2 linked regions of the Mus musculus genome follow. The protein of the gene in region 2 interacts with the protein of the main gene of each other region in a pairwise test. Links are inferred from orthologs where the notes say so. Each region holds a gene or a part of one and is shown on either strand. Other genes may lie near its edges. The genes, in order: Furin and Marchf2.

What was found.
Region 1: the proteins of Marchf2 (region 2) and Furin interact in a protein complementation assay, tested with the Homo sapiens proteins (2 studies listed by BioGRID). The link is inferred for Mus musculus from reciprocal best matches to the Homo sapiens genes MARCHF2 and FURIN.

Annotation. Positions count from the first base shown.
Region 1 is NC_000073.6:80,399,784-80,404,233, forward strand, and holds the start of Furin (furin preproprotein), read right to left. Parts: upstream 3,030-4,450; 5' UTR 2,747-3,029; intron 2,618-2,746; exon of another isoform or gene 2,010-2,617; intron 1,712-2,009; exon of another isoform or gene 1,644-1,711; intron 1-1,643. UniProt on the Homo sapiens protein: Ubiquitous endoprotease within constitutive secretory pathways capable of cleavage at the RX(K/R)R consensus motif. Mediates processing of TGFB1, an essential step in TGF-beta-1 activation.
Region 2 is NC_000083.6:33,694,438-33,698,246, forward strand, and holds part of Marchf2 (E3 ubiquitin-protein ligase MARCHF2), read right to left. Parts: intron 1,810-3,809; coding exon 1,600-1,809; intron 1-1,599. UniProt on the Homo sapiens protein: E3 ubiquitin-protein ligase that may mediate ubiquitination of TFRC and CD86, and promote their subsequent endocytosis and sorting to lysosomes via multivesicular bodies.

The sequences.
Region 1 (4,450 bases), on a different chromosome or scaffold from region 2:
CGGATACAAGTTACTGCTTAACAGTCGCTCCTTGGAGAGTCTGAGAATTATGAGTAGCAATTGTTACTTTCTGCTTTGTGCTACTGTACGCTCTCAAAATATCCAGGCATATTTTATAAAAGAATAAATGTTGGCTCTTTAAAAAATGAACAGAGTCTACCCAACTCAATTAGGGCATCCTGGTTCAGCAAAAAGGTGAGCTGTAGGGAGTTATTTAAAAGACTCTCAGTCCCCAAGAGGAAAGAGTGGGTGACTCGAGTTGGGATGGAGGCTGAGGAGCCACACTCTGAGCATGAGGGATTCCTGAGGTTTTGCCACCCTCTAGGGCTGAGATGACAGCCATCTTTAGAGGCAGGGCCCAAGCTGTTTCCTGGGCAACTTTGCTCCTGCTAGTCCAGCCCTGCTGCCCCCTGGCGTGTTCCAGGCCCACCACCTTGCGTAATCTGAGCCAGGCTGCCAGGGCAAACACTGGCGCTGAGCCTGGAACACCAAGGTGAGGCCGAATCAGTAGCCCTGAGTGGTGTTTTTCCTCCTTCAGCAAACAGACAGCAAGACCTCTCTGCCTGGGGCCACATAACTGTCCCCATAAAGGGCCCCTGACTAGCCACAAGCCAAGCTCCTGGGGTAGGTGGCAGCTAGGAGAGGTTCCAGTAGGCTGCTGGGGATGTCCTGTCTAAGTGCCAGGATCCCGATGCCCCTACCATTCCCATGGCCCAGCCCTAGAGGTAGCCACTTGGCCAAATGGTAAAATGTAGATACCTCAGCACACTGCCCTGTGGAGCTGGGCAGATCTGCTAGCCACTGGGAACGCCAAGATTCTCCAGGAACTGCCACTAGCTACCCAGCCTCCCTAACTGCTGCCATCTCACCCTATAGGCTGAGGGGACTCCACACACAATCCTGGAGTATTTTCAGTTTACACCAAAATAACCTGACAGCTGATGGCAGGAGACATCCACGAGGCAGACTCCATGCCTGAAGGGCAGAGTCCAAAGGGCTCCGAAGACATGCCTCAGAGTTAGAGCTCCGTGCCTCCACGTAGAAACAGGACTCTTGCCACATCTAAAACCTCTTTAGTTTAGAAATGTGCAGACTCCCTGCTCCAAGTTTTGAGACCTGCCTACAACTTCCAAATTATGGCTGGGTCGGTCTGGGTCTAGCCCAGGTTTCAGCAAACTATAGATGGGGCCACTGAGACAGAACCCCCACCACACCTCGAGAAAGATGGTCTGCTTCCCTCCACACCAAGTCTCCCCAACTGTGGTAAGGGTGGGATATGAATTCCAGACATCAGAGAGCCCTGCCTCGTCATCAAGACACATAGGAGGATACACACACCACACACACACACACACACACACACACACACAAAAGAACTGTGAACAATGAATGAACAGGCTTCTCCCCACCCCCATTCCAGACTCTGACTCACCCTCTGAGTCCCAGTTGTCTCAAAACCAGGAGACTGGATATATTTCTAGCCTCTCTGGGTCAGTTTTGCCCAGCCATCAGTGCTGGGCCTGACTAGAGAATAGGCTATAGTACTGTCCTAGCTCTTTTCTTAGGCAAAGCCTTTCTGTCTCTCCCTAGAACCTACAGACAGAGATAACCACAACCATTCCAGGCATAAGACGGGCACTTACCCCCAGGTGTGGCTGCTGTTTCTAGGACCTGGAGACCCAGCTGAGGCAGCCACAGAGCAAGCCACCAAAGACTGCTGGGAAACCCAATCAGGTCTCTCTTTCCAGCAGAGACCCCAAGGCAGGTCCTGTTACAGGCACCTCCCAGGAAATTTTAACTCCTAGTCCCTGCTCAACTACTTACACAAGTCATTTCCACTCTCTGGGCCTCAGTTTCCTTGGTGGTTAAAAACTATTAGGACAGAGGCTTTCAAACTTTTTTTAAGCCATAGGATCCTCTTTTTAAAAAAATACAAATTTTAGATAGAAGCCCAAAACAGGAAACACACACCTAATCTGCTCGCCCACCCTCCTTTTCTATGTCCACACCTGGCCAGCAGCCACATGCCCTCACTGGGCCACATCACCTGCGTCGTCTTGGCACTTCCCAAGTCAGAGAGAATCCCAGTGCTTCAGAGAGATGAAAGTCCACTTCCCCTAGGCGCAAAGCCCTGGGGCGGTGGGAACGGCGGCACCGAGCAGACTAGTGTCTGCTGTCAGACCTGTATGGCAAGCAGGCCGCCCCTCGGCTAGCCACCCGATGGATGGGGGCAGCAGGGGCCTCGGCCAGGCCTCGGCAGGAGGCAGCCCGGAGCGAGCCTCCCCCAAGCCGGCCTGTGCGCGCACGCGAAATCCGCCCCCGACCGCTCCGGCCGTACAGGTGTGCCAGGCGGCCGAGGACCCCGTGCCCTCCCGGGAGCGCGCCCCACCAGGCGCAGGCCCCGGCCGCCGGGGCCACGGAGGACCGCGGGCAGGCGGGAGCACCCAGAGTCCGAGGAATGCTCTGCCTAGCCCGCCCCAGCAGGGGCCCCGCCGGCGCTTCCTGAGGTCATAGGGCTCGCCCCGGCCCCAGCGGAAAAGTACCGGCGCGGGCCCAAGCCCGGCGCTCAGGTGGGCTGCGCGGCTCCCGTCCTCCCGCCGCGGCGGCCGAGAATCCGCGACCAGAGCCCGGCGGCCGGCGAGGCCCGGGGCTGCGCCGCCCGGCTCCGCGCTCCCCCGCCCGCTCCGGGCCCGGTTCCCCAGCGCGCCGCCTCCCCGGCCCCGGGCCGCGCGCCCTCGCCGCTTACCCTGGGGAGCCCGGGCGGGGAAACTTTTCCGGACGAGCGCCGCGGCCGCTCGGGTACCCCTCGGCCGAGCACGGAGCCCGGCGGCGGGGGCCTGGCTCCGGCGGTCCCCGCGCCCGGCAGCGGCGTCACGGCGCGCAGGCGGGGAGGCGCGGCGGCGCGGCCTCGGCCCGGCCGGCGACCAGGGCAAGGCTCGGCCTGGGCTCGGGCGCGGGCGGGGGGCAGCGGCCCGGCCGCGGCGGCGCGGCTTGTTTACTCGGGCCGCTGTCACAGCGGCGGCGGCGGCGGCGGCGGCCCGGGCTCCTCCTCCTCCGCGCCGCGCCCCTCCCCCTCGCGGCGCCACCTCCGCGCTCGGCGGCCGCAGCCGGCCCGGCCCGTTCGCCGCCCGGGTCGGGTCAGGCCGGGCCCGGCCGGGCCCGGCCGGTGTTCAGAGAGCTCCACGCGGCGGGCCCTGCGTTCTCGGGGCGCCCTGTCTGCGGCTGCCAGCGGGGCGGGTAGGGAGCGTGGTCCCTGCGCGCCACCCCAGGCCCCTCGGTCCGCACCGCGTTAGGCTCTTGGCCCCGCAAACTCCCGGGCAGATGGTTTCGGAGACCCGGACTGGGAGCCCGCGGGCGAGATGGCGAGGGAAGGGCCGAGGGTCGGGGGGTTTGGGGAGAGTCCAAGCTGGCCCTGCCTTGCCCGAGGTTCCTGGGTCCCGAGTTTTGAGTTTGGGGATAGTCAAGGGAAGCGCCCTGGGATGGCGGACCTGGGGCAACTCCACTCTCAGGTCGGATCTCACAGCGGCAGGGCAGCCCTCGTGCCTCCAGTTAGAGGAGTCACAGTTTTATTTGCTTTTGTAGAGACAGGTGGATAAACAGAAATAGCCCACCTCCTTTTATGGTTTTTTTTTTTTCCCAATACTTTTTTTTCCCCCTGCAACAACGGAGAGCTAGGCACTGGGCCAATCAGTTCACCCTATCTTCTCCTTATGTACATTCCTTAATCCACATAATCCGCTCAGGATGACATTATTAATCCCACTTTACAGATAAGGAAACTGAGGCACACAAAGTTTAAATAATTTTCCTTAAGCTACACAACTTAGCAGGCCTCAGACTTGGCAGCGTTTCACTCCAAGCTACTTACAGTATACCAGCCAGAGCCCTTCCCTCCCTGGGTTCCTGCCCTAGAAAACGGCTGTGCTACTTGGCGGAAGGTTGACATTCTGCTCGAGCTGAGAAAGAAGAGGGGAACCGGGCCAAGATCTTCCCAGGCTGGGTTGTTCCAAGGTCGCCAGCGGCCTCTGCACATCCCTTCTTGCTCTCTGTGAGATAACCTGGCCACATGAGACTTTGCCTCAAAACCCTCAAAGTAGTACACATACACACATACACACGTATCATTTGTGTGGAAAGTCGTCCAGGAAAGTTGGGCTCAAATCCTTGCGGTACTATTTTGCATTATTTCGAACCTTAAATTCTCAGAGCCCCGATTTATCCCTCTGAAAATGGAGATGTGTATGAAGTTAACTGAATCTGTTATTTGAGCATCCGTTAAAACACTGCAGACATGGGGTCTCTAAAAGTCTGGTTCCTCCCAGATTGGGGGCTTTCCCTTAGAAGGAGCTAAGACCTGTGGGGACCACTGTGGGGTAGCCCCCACCAGCACCACCACATGCACATTTGGGAGAACAATACTCTTGTGGTGAGACTGAGGCAGGAAGTGAGT
Region 2 (3,809 bases):
GAGGAAGACACCCAATATTGGGCTCTCTCTGGCCTCCACATATATGTATACATGTGCACATCTGCACCCATAGACTTAATGAACATATAAAATGCTCTCTGAGTGCTAGGGACGAAGTCCATGGTAAAGCACTTACTTAGAATGCTCAAGTCTCTAGATTCAGTCCTCAGCACCACAGGAAGAGAAGAGAAGGAAGGAAGAGAGAGGGGGAGGGAAAGAGGGAAAAAGAAGCAAGGAAGAACTTCATTGGTAGTGGCCCAAAACACTATTTGTAACAGGTGAAAATCACACACATTACCAAAAGTCTCAGAGTATGTCATAAAGGAATTGACTAAATAAATACAGTACAGCCACACAATCAACTCGTGTTCTCCAGAGCGACCTCTTTTCTTTTGAAAGGATATTAGCAAAGGATAAAACAAGCAGTACATATGTTTTCATGCAATGTATGTATTTTAAAATGTGTCCCTTTGTGATGGGAATGTATCTTGAAGACTACATCACATCCTTGTTGTGCAAACACTGCCAGTACTTAAGACACCACTAAGCAAAACTGGGTAAGGATTCCACCACCCGAGCTACATTCTGGCCAGATTTCTTTCTTTCTGTGTGTCTTTCTTAACTTTTTATATTAATTTAATGTCTCTTTCACAATTTCATTTATGCATATATACATTCTAATTGCTCTCACTCCCGCTCATTTTCAACACCACCCCTAACCTCATCAAACCCTCCCTCCCTACAAAGCCTTTCCCCATAGTCATGGCTTTTGTTTTACTCTGTGTGGCCAAGGATTCTGGTACACACCAGAACCTAGTGGGCCCAGCTGTGGATACACAACTGAAGAAAGACAAAGTCTCCCCTTCTCTGGAGTCTATCAGAAGCCAACAGTTCAGCAGAGAGAGGTGAGGGCTCATAATTTTTTGGAAGATTTTTAATCTATACTTTTGCTACATTTATTTAGTTATTTCCATGGCAGCATACCCCATGGCACCCTTATGTTAGGACAGATGGCAACCTGGAATCAGCTCTCACCTTCCACCACATAGGTCCAGGGAGTCAAACTCAGGGCCAGCTACTTTACTGCTAAGATGTTTCACCTACCCTCAGTTTCTTTCTTTCTTTCTTTTTTTTCAATTTATTTATTTTAATTTATATGAGTACATGGTAGCTGTCTTCAGACACACCAGAGAAGGACATATGGATCTCATTACAGATAGTTGTGAGTCACCATGTGGTTGCTGGGATTTGAACTCACGACCTCTGAAAGAGCAGTCAGTGCTCTTAACCACTGAGCTCTCTCTCCAGCCCTACCCTCAGTTTCTTAATATATATCTGTTCCACTTCACTCCCAATGTCTTCTTAGCTTCAGCCTTTTACTGATCTGTCTTCCTTCTTCCCAACTGACCCACAGTGATTAAATGTTCTTGTGCCCTTGAAACAAAAGGCTCACTACTGGCTGGATGCATCCCTGGACCTGTGTTACAATGTCAACCTGGAACAACAGGAAGCTGAGGGGACCACTTCCAGCAGAAGCTACACTCATACACAGCCTAGGGATTCCAGCTGAGCCCACCCACATGGGCTTTACCCACTCACCAGTGTCCAGAGCACATAGATGGTAAAGAGGGCGATGGTGAGGGCAATGAGACCTACAGCTTCCAGCCGGCTATGCAGACGGAGGTGGTCCTGGGCCCCTCGCAGGCAAAGCCAGCCTGAGATGGCAGCCAGTGGTGTGATGAACACAAAGCACACCATGTCACAGCACAGTGTTCGCTTCTCAGTGCGCGGCCCTGGGTCCTTTAGCCACTGTAGAGATGCAGATGACAGAGAGGGGTTATGTGGATGGGTGCTGCAGAATGGATAGGGAATGGGGGGCAGACTGTAAGCCTAGATCTCCATATTTCTATTAATGAAAGGAGTCTGCTGAGTGCTTGTCCCCATTTTTCTGATGTGCAAATGGGGGCATCAAAATAAAAGAAGAGTTAATTCATTCATGCAAATTCCCATAGCAAGAACAGACTGACTATTCCTACCCTAAAACTCTATAATCCAAAATGTTCTAACAATCTGAAACTCTAAAACAGAGCATAATGGGGAAAGGGGGACTGGAGAGCTGGGCCAGAAGTTAATTGCAGTTGCTACTTCCAAAGGACTGGAGTTCAGTTCCCATCATCTACGTTAAGGGCTCATAACCAACCACCTGTAACTCCAGCTCCAGGAGATCCCATGTCTTCTACCTGCCTCTCAGCACCTGCACCCGAGTGAACATACATACATATACCTAAATAGGAAATAAAAATAAATTCTTTGTCTCTTTGTTTCTGAGTATCTCTCTATGTGGTCCTGACTGTCCTGGAACTTGGTATATAGACGAGGCTGGCCTTGGAACTCACAGAGATCCTCCTGCCTCTGCCCCCCAGTGCTGGGATTAAAGGTGTACCACTGTGGTACAGTAGAAAATTCCACACTGTGAAACTCTGTGTGTGTGTGTGTGTGTGTGTATGTGTGTGTGTGTGTGTGTGTGTGTGTGTGTGTGTGTGTGTGTGTATGTGTGTATGTGTGTGTGTGTGTATCATTTATCATCATCATCATTACCACTGTCGTGGGTGCCTGTTTTCTCACACAGAGTCTCATGCAATCCAAGTGGGCCTTGAACTTCTGGCCCTTGTGCTTCCAAGTGCTGAAAGTATGGTCCAATGCCCAGCTCAAAAGTATTTAAAATATTATATCTAGGGTATAATTTAATGGTTCAGCACTTGCCTGGCATGAATGAGGCCCTAAGTTCAATTACTAATATCACCCTAGAAAAGAAAGAAACAGAGGAGGTGGTGATGTAATCCTATAATCCCAATACCTGAGAGATGTAGGAATAAGCATCATGAGTTCAATGAGTTCAAGGCCAGCCTCTTTAGGTCTGAGGTCCTCCTAGAATATGTGAGAACCTTCCTCAGCAGGCAGAGGTAGAAAGTGGTGGCTTGAGTAAAGATGCCCTACGTATGCCCCTATAGTTGAAAACTTCGTCCCCAGCTGATGACACTGCTAGGGAAGAATTAGGTGGTGTGGCCTAGTTGGAGGAGATATGTCACCACACATCATTTCCAGTTAGTCGTTCTCTATATCCTATTTTCAGGTAAAATATAAGGTTTCAAATACAGCTATGCCTGCCTGCCTGTCTGCTGCTATGCTCCCTGTCGTGATGACCACAGACTCACCCTCTAAAACCATAAGCTCCCAATAAACTCGCCTTGGTCACGGTGTCTGATCACAGCAATAGGAAAGAAACTAAGACTGACACTGAATTTTTTACATGTGTGTGCGTGTGCGTGTGCGCGTGCGCGTGCGCGTGCGCGTGCGCGTGCGTGTGTGTGTGTGTGTATGAGGTAAGTAAGGTGGCCGTGAAGGCCAGATGAAGGAGTCAGTCCCTTCAGGAGCTAGGCTTACAGGTGGTTGTGAATAGACTGATGTGGGTGCTGGGAATTGGACTTCAGTCCTCAAAAAACCAGTAAGTGATCTCGATGCTGAGCCATTTCCTTCCAGAAGGAGGGAAAGAGAGAAAAAGAAAGATCTGACCATGTATGTTGACTCCAAGACACTCAGTGAAAGAGTTCTTGCCTAGTGTGAGCGAGGCCGTGGGTTCCAGCAATACTAGAAACTAATTAACTAAAGTAATATATTTTTATAAACCTACCTTAGGAGGAGAGTATAAGGTATATATACACCTCTGTTATTCATTAAACATTCCAACCGCCCCTCCCGGAATTCTCAAAATCAAAACCACTCTATTCCCAAGCTTTTTTTTTTTTCAA